2 linked regions of the Coturnix japonica genome follow. The protein of the gene in region 1 purifies or fractionates together with the protein of each later gene. This does not show direct contact. Links are inferred from orthologs where the notes say so. Each region holds a gene or a part of one and is shown on either strand. Other genes may lie near its edges.

What was found. Proteins that work in one complex are often made in the same cells at the same time.
Region 2: the proteins of ZRANB1 (region 1) and MAP4K4 purify together in Homo sapiens (affinity purification with mass spectrometry; 3 studies listed by BioGRID and IntAct, with this or other methods). This does not show direct contact. The link is inferred for Coturnix japonica from reciprocal best matches to the Homo sapiens genes ZRANB1 and MAP4K4.

What each region holds. Positions count from the first base shown.
Region 1 is NC_029521.1:28,651,340-28,659,684, reverse strand, and holds the start of ZRANB1 (ubiquitin thioesterase ZRANB1), read right to left. Parts: upstream 4,924-8,345; 5' UTR 4,632-4,923; intron 2,613-4,631; exon of another isoform or gene 2,494-2,612; intron 405-2,493; exon of another isoform or gene 293-404; intron 1-292. UniProt on the Homo sapiens protein: Ubiquitin thioesterase, which specifically hydrolyzes 'Lys-29'-linked and 'Lys-33'-linked diubiquitin. Also cleaves 'Lys-63'-linked chains, but with 40-fold less efficiency compared to 'Lys-29'-linked ones.
Region 2 is NC_029516.1:120,470,845-120,478,477, forward strand, and holds part of MAP4K4 (mitogen-activated protein kinase kinase kinase kinase 4), read left to right. Parts: intron 1-970; coding exon 971-1,057; intron 1,058-1,711; coding exon 1,712-1,951; intron 1,952-5,341; coding exon 5,342-5,503; intron 5,504-7,496; coding exon 7,497-7,633.

The DNA of each region.
Region 1 (8,345 bases):
GTTAAAATCCAGAAGGTCCTGATCTTACACAAGGAAACATCACAAGAAAGGCAGATCTCAGCCAATTAAGAACCGTGATTAAGGAGGACATCTTGAAAACACAAAGTCTGCTCTGATAACAAGCTTCACTTACAGTCTATCAAAAGCCGCATCCATGTGGATGGATGGATTCATGTATTGTTTCTAAACATCATTAAGACTAATTGGTTAGATAGATATTCACTGTGCTCAGAATTCAGTTCTCAATATTCTATTCTCACATCCAATACAAGCGTGACCATCTCAAACACACCTTAAAGCTTCACGTCAGCCAAATAATTTCCTGTTACATGACACCTAATTCTGCGAACGTTCTGTGCGGTATGAAGTCAAACATCCAGGAGATGACAGATCTCAGGAGACATCTGAAATACAAGAATACAAGAGGACTTGGTTAGCACACAGACCTACCTATAGACCGAGCTGGAAGCCTCCACCCAGAGCAGATGTATTAACAGATTCAACATTCCCCTTTTCCTGATGTTTGTTTTTCATGTCCATCCCCTGTGTCCTCAGCCACTGCAGTTAATCCCGCTGTAGAAAGCGCAGAGCTTCCATCTGATTTGTACTGATCTCAAACCAAAGTACGTCTCCCCCTTATTAAATCTCTGACTAAATACTAAAAGCAGCATTAACTGCTGAAAACAAAGCTATAAAGGACAATAGCAGCGGGTCACAATTCAGTGCTTTCTTATTACGGGAGAGTTACACTTCCATTTTGTTGGCAGTCTCTTTTTTTGTGGGTTTGTTTTTCTCTTTTTAATCACCATTAGAAGTTAACAACCGCTGAAATGAGATGTTACGACACATTAGGAGGGACTAAATACAACCACTTACTTAGAAACCAATACCATTTGGTAAAACGAGAGTAAGCAGATCAACAGTTACATAATAGATGACATCTCCCACACAACACTAATCAAAACCAAGCAAACAAGCCCAAAATAATGAGCTCCAAAGAAAAACTCACATGAATACAGCCAGCAAATTTAATTAATCTGAACGCTATGATCATCAGTTGAAGGCAAATACCAACTCCAGATAAACACAGTAATATATGTGATAGAAATTCAGTTAATTTCTCGATGACCAAAGTTGAAGGTTTCTTTCTAAAAAGGCCGAACACAAACACGCAGTTTATCTGTGTTTGGACTCGATGCCTAAAACACGAGGCTTGTTTCTGTTTAGATCTCAGCCACCCTTGCAGAAGATGAGGAAAACCAGATGTCACGCTCTGAATAAAAACATACCGCTGAGTCAGACGTCAGAACTTAAAAACACTTAAACCTGTCCAGCAACCGAGGAATATTACATTAAAATTTGTACGTTTGACATTCAGTTCTAGTAATTATCCCCTGGACCTCCCTAATAGTGGTTGACCATAAATTAGATCGTGGTTAGATGCAGACATTCACCGTTTGGTGGAGAAAAACCATCTGCCTGCAAATGAAACAAGGAAACACGCTCTGCACATCAGCTATTGAGCAGCTTCCCTCTCATTAATGGGGAGCCACTTTGGGATGGAGTTAAGGATGCCTTTGGTAGACGTGCGTGCAACTGGGTACGACTTCAAGCACAAAGAAGCCATACAAGCTATGGTGGCTTCATCCAGCTCTTCCTGAGATACTGGCTAGACAGCAAAGTGTCACGGCGGAAAAAAAGCCAAAGTGATGGCACACAGCACTGCTCAACACAGCGCAAAGGGCTGTGTGTGTATATACACAGGTTACCAGCAACTCAAGCTAACCACAGAATCACAGAATGGCCTGGGTTGCAAAGGACCATGATGATCATCCAGTTCCAACCCCCTGCTGTGTGCAGGTCACCAACCAGCAGCCCAGGCTGCCCAGAGCCACATCCAGCCTGGCCTTGAATCCTGCAGGGATGGGGCATCCACAGCCTCCCTGGGCAAATATTATTGTTCCTATAAAGGCTACTCAAAACTCAAACCAAATGATGCCAAACCAAAGCATCAGAACTTGAAATTTCAGTATCTGGTAACAAAGCAATGGTAAGCACGACCCAAATGTCACTGCACGCTGGCTTCTATGCTGATGGGGAACTGCAGGCTCTTTGCTCACTGACAGCTTCAGAAAGTCCTATTTACACTTCAAAAATAGACACAAGTTCATCCTTGCAGCCCCCCCACCCCCAGCCAGCAGGCATCACACCTGCCATTTGTTTTGTCCCTAGCCCTCATTACTTCCAGCGTCTGCAACTCAGCCTCAAAGTATCCTTGTCTTAAGAACCAGCAGGCCAGATGATATCAGGAAAAATTCAAATACCCAAAGGGAAAAATGCCAACTTAATTATACCTGCTGCATAGCAGGAGATGCAAAGAGCTGCAATCTCGTCTGGTTTGCAGACAAGATGCTACATACCAGGAACTCCATTCTGTATTAACACACACTGTATCAACCTCTCACATTTCTTGATTAAATAAATGCAACCTACAACTGTTTCCGCATTCTTGAGCCCATCCTGAAGTCTGGTCCTTCTCTGGATTTCATTGCGTGCATCCACGTGGTTTCAGAATAGTAGCAATGCAGTTTTTCTTCTGAAGCATTGGGCTGTTAGACACCAAAGGGACGAGTCCTGTTTGCAACCTCCTGTTCCAAAGAGGTTCCAAGAGAATCAAATCCATCCGTGAGAGCAACTGATGCAAATGAATTAAAGCCTCCCGAAGTTGACAAGTGTTACAGGCACAAAAATCAATCAAACCCTCTGCAGTCTGCAGCGCTGTCAGCTGTGTAAGAAGCGCCACGAAAAAGCAAAGAGCCTGAATTACAAGTGTTTGAAATCTCCATTAGGAGATGAAAGCTCCTTTTGGAGGTGGAACAAATTGCATTCGACTGACGTGTTAGAATTAGAATTGTGGTCTTTAATTGACGCTGGGGGTGTTCAAGGAAAGGCTGGATGTTGTGTTGAGGGACATGGGTTAGTGGGAGCTATTAAATAGGTGAATGGTTGGACTGGATGATCTTTTAGGTCTTTTCCAACCTTAGCAGTTGTTCCATCTTAGTACCAGGAGACTTGGATTCTAATTCATACAGTCAAAACGAGGATTACTTGTTGACATCAATTTTGAACAGCTCAAAATAACCCAGTCTTCAAGTTTGGGCAGCTGTGATGAAGGGGCAGGAGATTGCTAACAGAACTGCCAGCAGCGGTTGAACAGCTTTGCTGTCATTTGTAGCTGCACGTCATGCTGAAGGCTGCATTAATCTGAAATTCTACTTAATCTCAACTCTGTGCAAGCCCGATAGAGCAAAGAGAGGCTGCAAAGAGAAAGCTTAATGCCGAGGTTAATGCCACATGAACGAGTCGTTACACTGATGTTTCTGAACATACATTGAGCAATTAAAGTGAAAAAATAAGCTTCCTATACAATAACTATTTTCTGCTTACGTTACTGAGTTTATTTATGGACCTATCTTGCAAAGACAGATGGAAACACGGATTTAACTGCCTCTAAACAATCTACACACTGACATGTAATTAATATGGCCACGCACATCTAAACAAGACTTAAAATGCTGCCTTGACCAAGTTCAACTGGTCTCCAATTTAAGTCATGCTTCCACGATGAATCCCACTGATGCTTTTATGCTACCCAGTACTGCAATGGAATTCATACTTTCCATTATGCTTCTGAGAAAATCCTAATAGTACACCTGCTCCCCCAGTGAGATTTACACCACGTAATCCTATCCTATACAACCCTAACCCCTATCCTATACAAGGCAGTGCATCCAAAATCATTGCGTTTTAATGCTGTGATGGATATAAATCAGAAGTGATGCTCACATATGAAGTCACACTGAGACACCACACCAGCCGGCCTTGGGATAGAGGCAAATAAAAGACTATAAGAACACTTCCATCATCACCTGCATCCCCCCTCTATGGGCGACCACTTAAAGCACGACCAGCCTTCACAAACCTCTCCCACAGGACACAACAGGAACCCCCAAGGATTCCAGAACAACTTTCCAGCATTGTTAGCCCTGAATGTCGCCGCTGTGACACAAAGTTCTCAGCACCCACCATGGAGGAGCCCAGGCTTCAACCACCTACTATGGGCGACCCGGGGGGGGCTCCATATCGCAGTGGGGGTGTACCTGAGCCTGGTGGGAGCTGCTGTAGAGTGGGAGTGTGAAGGCACAGCCCTAAATGGTCGAGGTTTAGAGCTACTGACTGTACTTATAATAATAAGAAGAAGCGAAGCACTGGCTCAGCTCAAAGGAACGAGCTCTGTTTGTGATGTACGCCCAGCCGAGTGCCAGCAATAGGCGGTATGATATGAGACCTCCAACACAGCACACGGAGCCAGGCAGCCCCCCCAACCCCCATAAATAAATACATTAATTAATTAATTAAACCACAAAATATGAAGAAAATAACTAAGAGGCAACTCCAGCAGCCCCCAGTACCGCAGCACAACAGATAGGAGCTCACCATAACAGCCCGGCCGTGCTGCCTTTGTACACCAGCCCCACGACCCCCGGGCCCGCTCCTCCCCCCTCCCTCAATAGTAGCCGAGCCCCATCCCGTGGTCAGCCCCCTCCCCCCATTACCGGAGCTGGGTTTACCTGTCCGCCCCACGGGAGCCGTCCGTCCTTCACTCCGCGCCGCCCCCCCCGACCCGCTGGCTGAGTTGCGCTCCCCCCGCTCACGACATGGTACGTCCCAAGGCGGCGGGTTGCCGCGGCCGCGGGCGCTCCCACTCGGCACGGCCGCGGGGGGGGGGAGGGGAGGGGGGGGTAAATCCCTTGGCCCCGCTCCCGGCCTCCTCTAATGGCGGCGGCTGGAGCGGCCCAAAGCAAAATAAACCCCCATACGGCCAGCGGACCGCACGTCAGCACGGCATGCCGGCATGCCCCGCGCCCATTGGACGACAGAACGACTCCCGCTCCGCCAATCGCCGCGCGCCTCTTTGGAGAGAACGGATGACGTCATCCCTAACACAAGTGGGCGGGGCTAAGGGTGAGGGGGCGGGGCTATCTTTGGCCACGCCCCCTCGGTGCTCACCTTGGTGCTCCTGTATCCCGTTATTCTGTGCTTTTTTTGGCACAAAAAGCCGAATTAAGCACAGTTTGTGGAGGATATTTGAATTTTCCATCCTTACATCACCCGTCTGAGTCAGCACCAGCCCTCGCAGCTGCTAATTTCATGCTCTTGTTCCCATTTTGGGGTGAAATGTATAAATATCCAAGTGCAGCTCTGTCACTGATATAGCTCTTATATAGCACCATATAGACATCATATAGCTAACATATAGCTCTCATATAGCCATCATATAGCTCTTATATAGCTCTCATATAACTCATATAACTCTCATATAGCTCTCATATAGCTATCATATAGCTATCATATAGCTATCATATAGGTATCATACAGCCATCATAACTATCATATAGCTATCATATAGCTACCATATAGCTCTCATATAGCCATCATATAGCCATCATATAGGTATTGTATAGCTATCATACAGCCATCATATAGCCATCATATTGCTATCATATAGCTATGATATAGCTATCATATAACTCTCATATAGCTACCATATAGCCATCATATAGTTATCAAATAGCCATCATATAGCTACCATATAGCTCTCATATAGTTTTCATATAGCTATCATATAGCTACCATATAGCTCTCATATAGTTCTCATATAGCTATCATATAGCTAACATACAGCTCTCATATAGCCATCATATAGTTATCATATAGCCATCATATAGCTCTCATATAGCTATCATATAGTTCTTATATAGCCATCACATAGCTCTCATATAGCCATCATATAGCTATCATACATCATATAGCTATCATATAGATCTCATATAGCCATTATATAGCTATCATATAGCCATCATATAGCTCTCATATAGTTATCATACAGCCATCATATAGGTATCATGTAGCTATCATATAGGTATCATATAGCTATCATACAGCCATCATAACTATCATATAGCCATCATGTAGCTCTCCTATAGCTCTCATATAGCCATCATATAGCTATCATATAGCTCTCATATAGCTCTCATATAGCTAACACATAGCTAACATATAGCCATCATATAGCCATCATATAGCTCTCATATAGCTACCATACAGTTCTCATATAGCCATCATATAGCTACCATATAGCTATCATCATATAGCCATCATATACCTATCATATAGCTAGGAGCAACTGTGCAGAAATAGGAAAGGAGCGAGTGCTGAGTTGTTAGCTCCTCAGTCCCTCTGTTTCACTAGCAGCAAGGAAGGAGCTTAAAAGCTGAGAGCACTTGAAAGCATGCACTGTATTTGTCTTCATTTCCTTGTGGTTCTGCAGGGAGCAGAAGAAGGGGGTGGTGGAGTCAATCCATCACGTTAGGGCTTTCCAGCTGAAGAGTTTGAGCCACCTGATGTGGGAATCTTAGAAACTTCCCTTGGTTGGGCAGATATTTGGTAGGTAAAAGAGACAAGAGAAAAGCAAAGCACACAAAGGAAGATGGAAAAGCAGGAGGCGATGGTGATGGATATAATCCAGTGTTCTCATTCAGGCTCTGGGAGGATGCAGGATCTGCCTGTCCCAGATGGCAGGCACAGCATGGCTGCTGCAGTGGCTTTGAGCATGCATCAGCAGGTCTGTCATAGCACAAGGAGGCAGCAGGGGGGTGGGAAGGGGGGGTATAGAGAAGAGGAGAAAAAGAAGGAGAAAATAAGGGAAAATGAGGAGCTGAATGTTAAAAACAAAAGGGAAAGAAAAATAAAAGATGGAAATGCAAAGACATTTGTGAGGACTTAGACAAAAAGAGAAAAAATGTATTGAAATCCATAAGCTAATTGCTGCTGAGGAGCTCAGGCTGAAAGGGTCTGGATTGCTTTGTGCAATGGCCAACACGTCGCTTATCCCCAACAATAACACATTTAACCACTACCAAGCACCTGCAACTCCGAAGTGTTGACAGAAAGAGTAATACGAACTCCTCCAACTCTGCTAAGTGAGTGTGGGTAAAAATACTGCATTCATACAACCTCTGGCTTAGGTGCCGAGCTCAGGTAGCTCCCCACTCTGAGCACAAACAACACTGAGAGGCAGCACCTCTCCCCAGATATTGCCTATAAATCATAGATGCTAAACTCCACAGCCAGAAACTTGGCTGGGAAGTTCAGACTCGTGCATTTTCCTCCTTTAAGGGAGCATACCGCTCCTCCTACATAGCAACTCAGTGTTATCGGGTGGCATTAGCACTCCCCCAGTCAGACACCATGTCAGCAGCACTCAGCATTTGGTGAAAGTGAGAGGGGGATTTATTGTAAAAGAAGGCTACGCAGGAACGTAAAAGGCAACAGAGAACAGACACAGCTCACAGAATGCAGTATGTCATGCCAGGCGTAATCACTGCCAGCTAATCAGATTATTCGATGAGACAGAGGGAGCAAAATCCATCTTCCAGTTGACGTAATCCGCTGATAGACTTCTGAAGGGTTCTGAAGAACTCCTTTTGTTTCAGAAGCCATTCCCTTCACTTCTCATTGAGGCGTCTTGGTTTTTCATTGGCAAACCTAAGACGAGGTTTGTTTTGGTTTTGATTGCTTTCATTCCTACCTTTAAAAGAAGAGGATTCGGTCATTATACAGCTATTGTTTACCTGTATCAATCATCACAGAAGCTGCTATATCTTCATTTTGGTGGAGGCTATGCCAAAATCATGGGTAGATTAGAATAGAATAATTGCAGTGTAGCTCTGTCTGGGATCACTGTCTCTCACTGCACAAAGAAATGCTGAAGCAAAGCTAAGACATTTATCGAGCAGCAGGTGCTCATTAGCTTGTTGTCAGTACTCTCCCATTGATAGCTCCTACGTGGATATTTTGTAGGTAAGCAACATTATAAATAGACCTTTTGTAGCTAACATTTTTGCTTGCATATATAAGATATGCTTGCTGTCTCCCAGATAATTCTGGCTATGCTGAGGAATACAGATTTGGTGATTCAGGAATGTGTTGATGCAGTAAAACCCACTACATGTCTCAGCTGCCTATGAGTTTCTCTAGCTTAACCTCCACAAAATGTCTACACATTGCCAGCCTGCACTTCATAGAACCGTAGAGTGCCCTGGGTTGCAAAGGCCCACAGTGCTCATCCAGCTCCAACCCCCTGCTGTGTGCAGGGTCACCAACCAGCAGCCCAGGCTGCCCAGAGCCACATCCAGCCTGGCCTTGAATGCCTGCAGGGATGGGGCATCCACAGCCTCCTTGGGCAACCTGTGAACAGTGCGTCACCACCCTCTGGGTGAAAA
Region 2 (7,633 bases), on another chromosome or scaffold:
AGACGTGTCCTCTCTTAGAATTTTTGTTCCTCTAAATGACGGCTCAGCCAGTGTGCGTAATGACCATATAGTGGACGTCATCAGTCTGTCGCAAGACTTTCTATAGCTCCCATCACTGTATCTCTGAACCATTAATTTCTTTATGCATACACTGTATACATATGCGTGCTTGTGTGTGTGCGTGCGTGTGTGTGTGCGTGCATGCATGTGTTACGTATCTCCATTAATTGCATGATAGGATGTTACCAGCTTGGGTTTGGTGCTTCAGACTTTGAGTTGTGGTAGGGGGGTCAGGCAAAGCTGCAGGTAAATGTCTTGAGCTGTGAAGGCTGCAGGTGAACAGACAGCTAGATCGCAAGAGCGAGCGAGTTTGTTCTAATATCTGTTTCCTGGTGGATGTTTGTTTGTGTCATAACTCATCGCATAATTCAGCAAGGCTGGCAGCGTCTGCTCAGGAGAAGCTTCTGGTGAGGGCGGCAGGGGAGAAGGCAGGGCAGGGCTGAACTGCATTTGGCAGAGCCCCTTTGTGGGGAGCTTGCACCAGCTCTGCCCGCACTAAGCCTGGCTCTAGCTGTTGCTAACAGTTCATCGCACCGGTGCAACAAACTAATGTTTAATCCAACTTGCATGTGACTTTGTGTTGGCTGTGTTGAGTCAGACTTGCTGTGTTTTAACTTTACCAAAACCTTCAAGTGCATTGTGCTGCTTCTTGAAATCACTTCCAAAATATGTAAATGAGCTCTGGCTCATGCTGGCAACATTTGCAGGAGTCCAAATTTCGGAATGGAAGGGGCCAAAATACGATGCTCAGGAGACAGGGCTTCCTAAATTGTTCTGCAGGCACTAATCCACCCTGAAGTGCGTTTCTCGTTAAAGCTGAACTGGGGAAGTAGCGTGCGGTGTGCCACCCAGGGGGTTCTGATGCATTCCTTTTGAATAAATTCATTGCTGGGTAATTTCTATGTGACAGGAGTATATCAGGCGACAGCTAGAAGAGGAGCAGCGGCACTTGGAAATTCTACAGCAGCAGCTGCTCCAGGAGCAGGCCATGTTACTGGTAAAGCACTGTATCTGTTTTGTTCAGTAGCTATAGGATCCATTTATCTGGCCAGTCCTGGGCTTCCCTCAGTCGGGCACAGCTGCACTGACAGTATGACAACAAAGGAGCTTGATTAAAAGGCCATTTATGCTAGCGTCGTGGGCTGACAGGCACATATGAGAAGTGCTGTGTGGTCACACTGCTTTCTGGGCTGTAAGAGGAGGCTTTATGTTAAAGTGGAACAGTTCTGGTTTGGCGGTCGAGTTTCTGAACAGACCTTGAAGAACTAGAGTGCTTGTGTTGCAGATCAAAAGCACACATGATATGTAAATCCACCCCAGGATACAATGGCCTAGTGTTGTTCTAAATCATTGTTTTATGAACTTACACTGAATCTAGTATAAGTAACTTTGTTCTTTTTTCTTTTAACAAAAATCAGTTTTGACATAATTCTCCAATCATGTGAAGCGTAGCAGTATATTCTCAGCTTTCCCAACATGAGACGCATGTCATATTGATCCAGCTTAGCTTTTGGTTACACTTTAACAATGAAATAAATAAAAAAAATAAAGCAACAGCAACCAGAAATGTCCAGTTTTAATGGGATGGATAGGAACATGTCTACCATATATTCCATGCCATGTCTTGAATTACTCACACATTCTCTCAAAGGAATACAGATGGCGGGAGATGGAGGAGCATCGACAGGCAGAGCGGCTCCAACGCCAGTTGCAGCAGGAGCAAGCCTACCTCCTGTCACTGCAGCATGATCACAGGCGGCAGCAGCAGCAGCAGCAGCAGCAGCAGCAACAACAGCAGCAGCAACAGCAGCAGCAGCAGGAAAGAAATAAACAAAGCTATCATGCCCCTGAGCCAAAATCCCACTATGAACCTGCTGAAAGAGCGCGTGAGGTAAGTCCTGCTCATGGAGAGGAATATGCTACTTGCTCCCCCATCCCTGCACCTGTTGGCATCGTGGTAGCTGTGGCTCTACTGCACTATGTACGGAGACCAAGGTGTCGTGATTGAGGGAAAGGATGTTTTCAAGTGTTGGTTTCTGGTTTCCCAACCCAAGGAATGCTTCTGGTTACTTCTGCTGTCATTGTAAGTGACTGTTTTTAGATGTAAAAGGTTGAAGGAATTTCTGAAGTGCTGCAGACTGAGGGGGACCTGATACTGGAAGAATCCAGTCAGGGAGGTAATCTCATCTGGACTTTATCAGGTGTCTTCACAGGAAGTACTAATGCAGTTGTCAGGCTGTGTTGCTGGCAGGTACTGAAAAGGGGAAATTTGGAGGGAATTGGAAAATGGAGACCCATAAGGGATGAATGCACACAACACCTGTAGATGCTTTAGCCCACGGTCTTAAAAATTTGCTTCAGATAAGTACAAGCCTGAAGTGAGTTAGTTTCATTTCTGATGAGTTTTACCTGCTGAGATCACAGCTTGCTTTTATGAAACTCTGTGGTGCTTCCATCTTTAACTTCAGGCACTCACAAATCCATCTGAAATCATCAGAGTACTGTTTGTCTCAGTGAATAGTCCCCTGCCTTCACTGGTCCGTGGTCAACGTCACTAAGCAAGTAACTATCTCTTTGATGCATACTTGGCTTTTTCAGCAGTCCTTTTCTTATGTTTCCCTTGGACATCATGCTGCCTGTAAGCTGCTAGATTGGGCAGCGCTGATCAAAACTCTTAATGGCATTCATCACCAGTGTGTGGGTATTAGGTAAATACATTTTGGAACAAGAACCAAAAAAAAATTAAATAGTTGTGGTTGTTGAACATTACAAAATAGCTTTCAGTCCACCTGTGTCCACTAGTGTTTCACTGCCTTTGAAGTATTGCTGTTGGGACTTGATGAGCAAAACCTCATTTTCTTAGAGATACTATTGTCCAAGTTCTTCATAAACCACAGTCTGCTATCTCATCTGCTCTTGGCTGAAGTATTTGGTATGTGCATTTCTCCTGGAAGAGGTTCAGACTCGTCCAGCATGTTGTGGTGCAGGTGTGGAACCCGCCCTCTTTTCCTCGTGCTCATTTCTGGTCTGCCTTGGTGAAAGCGTAGTGCCGGTCCAGCACTCCTATCCCACCAGAGGGAGGGTTTTGGAGGGGCAGAGAACCATCTCCATTCTTCCTCTGCCTTTTTCCTTTCAGAGTTGAAAAGAAGAAGAACTAAAGATTCCAAGTCCTTTAACAGAACTGCTGACTCAGCTCTTTTAATGTCATCTTTTCCTATTATGATCGTGCTAGGTAGAAAGAATAAAGTGAAGGCAAAGGAAAAAATGTGTTAGTAGTCAGATTTTCTTGGAGTCTGCTATGTAATATTCTCTTTTAAAACGTACAGTAGGAGTATAGCCATAATACCTCGTTGTCTGGCAGTGGGAGCGACACCAGTTAGTCTTAAAAGCAAGCATCAGCTGATGTAATTTTTGACATGAATTACTGACTTGGAGCAAGTATTCTGTGCCTCATACTTCCACAAAGATTTCAGTTCAGAGGAAGTCTTCATCCACTGAGATGTTGACCATCAAGATGATAATCCAGCGTTAGCTAACTTTCCAGTTCTGGCTAAGTCTAATGATGACCAGGGCTTTATTTTTCCTTATTCCAGCTCCAATGAGTATATAAGGAAGATGATTTCTAAAATTGGCTCTAGGAAACAGAAGGAAGCTTAGAGCAAGAAATGAAAGTTAATACTGTTTTCTGGTCCAGACAGTCAGATGACTGCAACAGGGATTATTTCTATCCAGGGATGAACTGTCTCTTTCCCATGTCTTGCCAGTCTTTGAGAACACGTGGCTTGTGCAGTTTATGTTCTTTGTGGAGGAAACCTCCTGTCATTTACAGCTAGGGACATGAAAGCCTGTTCCTTCAGACAGAAAGGCTTGGGGCTTTTCCTTATTCTGTTCCTAAGAAGGAGACTGATAAGAGGAGTTTGGCCTGTGAGACTGACATGATATTGAAAATGACTGTATGGTGAAGATACTTGACTTCATTATTGCTTTATTTCTCTAGACATGGTGTATTTTGTATGGACTTGGCAGAAGCTTGTCTGGTTGCTCCCATTGGCAAACTGTTATTGTCCTCTAATTTTGGAAAGCAGAGGCAGGTTGGGCTTGTAAAGCAGCCTTGTTAAGGAGTCCTGGAGACTCACATCTGTCTTCTGACCTTGATATAGAAATATTTTCATCATGCCAACATTGCTTAGGAGCAATTAGGAAACTACCCAAATAATGGTTTCATGCTCTGGGTACAAGAGTTAAAGCAGACCATATGAGCAGCATCTCAGCAAATAAAATCAGCCCCAGCTTCCAGTTTCATCTTTAACACTTGGTAAAGTGCTGGGAGTTTAGTGTTCCTCAGTGGCCACTCTTCTGACTACAAGGCACAGCACACACTGCTGTGATTCCAGCAGTGGCTCATTGTGGGAAATGGGAGGATATTTCCTTTCTGCCTATAGCTTCCTTCCATCTCTTTCCCTCCATACTGCTCTCTTTGTTCTCGATGCCACAGGCTTTAAAGAGGTGACATTTCTGCATGGGGAGCTTGCTTGATATTCTTTTGAGGGCTCTGCACTTTCTGATAAAGTCTTCCCTTCGCAGAACTCTCTGGGTTAGCATACAGTCACTTCTACGTGTCTCTGAGAAGCAGAAGTAAGTTGCAGGGGCTGTTCTCTGCAGTCTGAGGTCAGAGTGCAGCTTTTTGATGTTGTTTCAGGACCATCTGATAAGAGAGAGTTTGAGTAGTCCTACAGCTTCATACCTAAAGCCGAACTGCCTCAAGTATTACCAGATAGAGAAGCATATGCATCTATCTCTTCTCACATTGCCAAAGGGACACACAGAGGAAAGCATATAACTGAATAACATACTTCCCTTTAGGTTAGTGGGGCTTCTACTTGTAGCAAGGAATAACAATGGGAAAAGTATTTTGAAATTGTAAAGTTGTTTCTACTTTCACATATCCCTTTTGTTGTCTATGTCTGCTGATGGGTGCTAACTAGTCTAGACAGCAGGAAGCTCCCTGATAGGTCTTTCCTATTACTTCACAGCATACTGGCCACTGTAAGCTCTTTCCTGGTATGTATTTCCCATGTTGGCATGCTTGACATTTTGATGCAGTTCACTGTGCTTAAATTGCTGGTGAAACCTGCAGGGATGAAAACCCTGCCAGGCCTCAAATATATTTCATTTCTATATGGCAAAAGAAGAGAGTAGTCACCTTCTTACTTCTACTGCTGTTGGTTTTACTGACTCCAGATATAACCTGTTTTGTTTTTTTTTGGTATTTTTTTCTTAGGTGGAGGAGAGATTTAGAAAAACTAATCAGGGCTCCCCTGAAGCACAGTCTAAGCAGATGGGCAAAGTGTTGGAGCCACCAGTGCCTTCAAGATCAGAGTCCTTTTCCAATGGAAACTCAGAACCTGCTCAGCCTGCCCTGCAGAGGCCAATGGAGCCCCAAGTAAGTGCCCAGGGAAATATTGGTGAGCCTGGAGGAAGTGCAAGAAGTCCTAACATGTTTCCTTCATTTTTTCAGATCTTGGCACAGAGAAAGTCTTACTTAAAGAGTAACATTCTCACTCAAAATAGCTTATTTACTAGATTAACTTTGTATGGTTTTGCTTACTGATTTGATAAACGGGTAGATTTCTGCTTTGTTTTTAAAGAAAACTGTTGTTCTGTTATTATCTGTGCAAGAGTGGAATAGTCAGCTAAATATTGGTCATAGGTGCAGTACACTTCTATAATTCAGAATTTGATCTGTGCATAGTATTTGTTATCAAAAAGAATGTTGAGGAAAGAAGTGAGCTGATTTAGTCTTCTAAGCTCTTTGGGGAACAAAAAAACCAAACAAACATGTTTTTTAGCAGAATAAGCATTGCTTTAAAGAAATCCACAAGACACGACTAAGAAAAGCAAGTTTGTTGTCAGTGGGCTTATACTTGCTAAATAAAGCTCTGTTACCACCCCTGGAAAATCAAAAAGAGGTTGGAACCACTGAGCAATGTGACTGCTGTCATCCTGTTGTTTGCTAATGAAAACCTCCAGAACTTGGTAACTATATCTCATAGGACTTACAGTATGAATTTAAAAAATAATCTGAAGTCTAAAACTTATAAATAACCCAAGCAGTTGAGATATGCTATGTTAAAAGTGTGCTTCTATATTAAGTTTGTCTGTTTCCATGCAGAATTTCTTTCTCCCAAATAAGTCAGTTGATGACAGCGCAAGCTAAACCTGTTCCTGATTGTGACTAGGCATTGCAACTCGTTTGGGTGACAGGAGAATTTGAGCAGACGAGAGAGTGGGAGAAATCAGGACAGAACTTCATTCTGACTCATTAATTCCTGGCTTTTATTCAAACCTCCATGATTATTTCAAAGTACTGCACTTGTATTTTTGTGTTCTCTGTGCCAGTTACTTTTAAAGTCTGGCCTTCCACTCACATTAAGAATAATCAGACTCTTCAACAGCTGTGTGTATAAAAATTGAGGAAATAATAACCATATAAAAATACGTACAGCCAACCTACTGATAATGACATTGAAAGTGAAGTTTCGATTAATTACTAGGTGCAGATGCAGTGTGTTCTTCAGTTTTGATCTTTTCTCCTCCTTGGCTTCAGAAATTAACTTTGAAATGTGCGCTTATGCACAAGGAGGGAGTAGGCTGGAGTGGAGGATCAGTATGGATTTCAAGGAAAATCCCCAAGGGTTTTTACCTCTGGAGTCACTGCTGTGCCTTCTCAATATCTGTAATTGAATATGTGCATGTGTACGTGTGTGTTTAGTTTGTTTATGAATATGTGTATATGTACAGTATATGGTACATATATGGCATATGTATAATATGCATTGCCCATATGTATACTGTATACAACAATACAATATATATTATGTTTCTGTATATATATTGCAACGACTCTAAAGGAATAAAGGCTTTTATGTTATGGTCATTCTCCAAAAGTTTGGAACTGTATCTAGTTTCCAAATTTTTTTAGATAACATAAATGTCTGTTGGTTTGCACACTTTATGGCCTTCTTTAATTTTGCACATTTCTTCAATTGGATAACCACTTCAATTTTCCCAACCCATTGGTGCCGCCATGAGATCTGGCCAAAGCCCACTGAGGACTGGGGAGCAGAAGTTGGCTCCTGTCTTGTGTGGCCTTTGACCCCATGCTCATGGTGCAGATATTAGGTCCCCTTTTCTTTTGGGCACTAGTGTATGTGTATGTGGAGAGCGTAGCTCGCAAAAATGCATATGTGCTGTATTTTCAGTCTGTTGCGTTCTCTGGGCGCTTGCCTTGCTTTTAAGTGCATTGATTCCACCCCACGCTTACCTAATGCCATAACAATTTGTCTCTGCCCACCCCACCTGCCTTTATTCTGTGTTAATTGGACAGCCGGTTATTCTGAGCGCATTGAATGTTTTATGTTTTGTTTTCTTGTAAGGTACAGTGGTCCCATCTGGCATCTCTCAAGAACAATGTTTCCCCTGTCTCGCGATCCCATTCCTTCAGTGACCCTTCTCCCAAATTTGCTCATCACCATCTTCGTTCCCAGGACCCATATCCACCTTCACGCAGTGA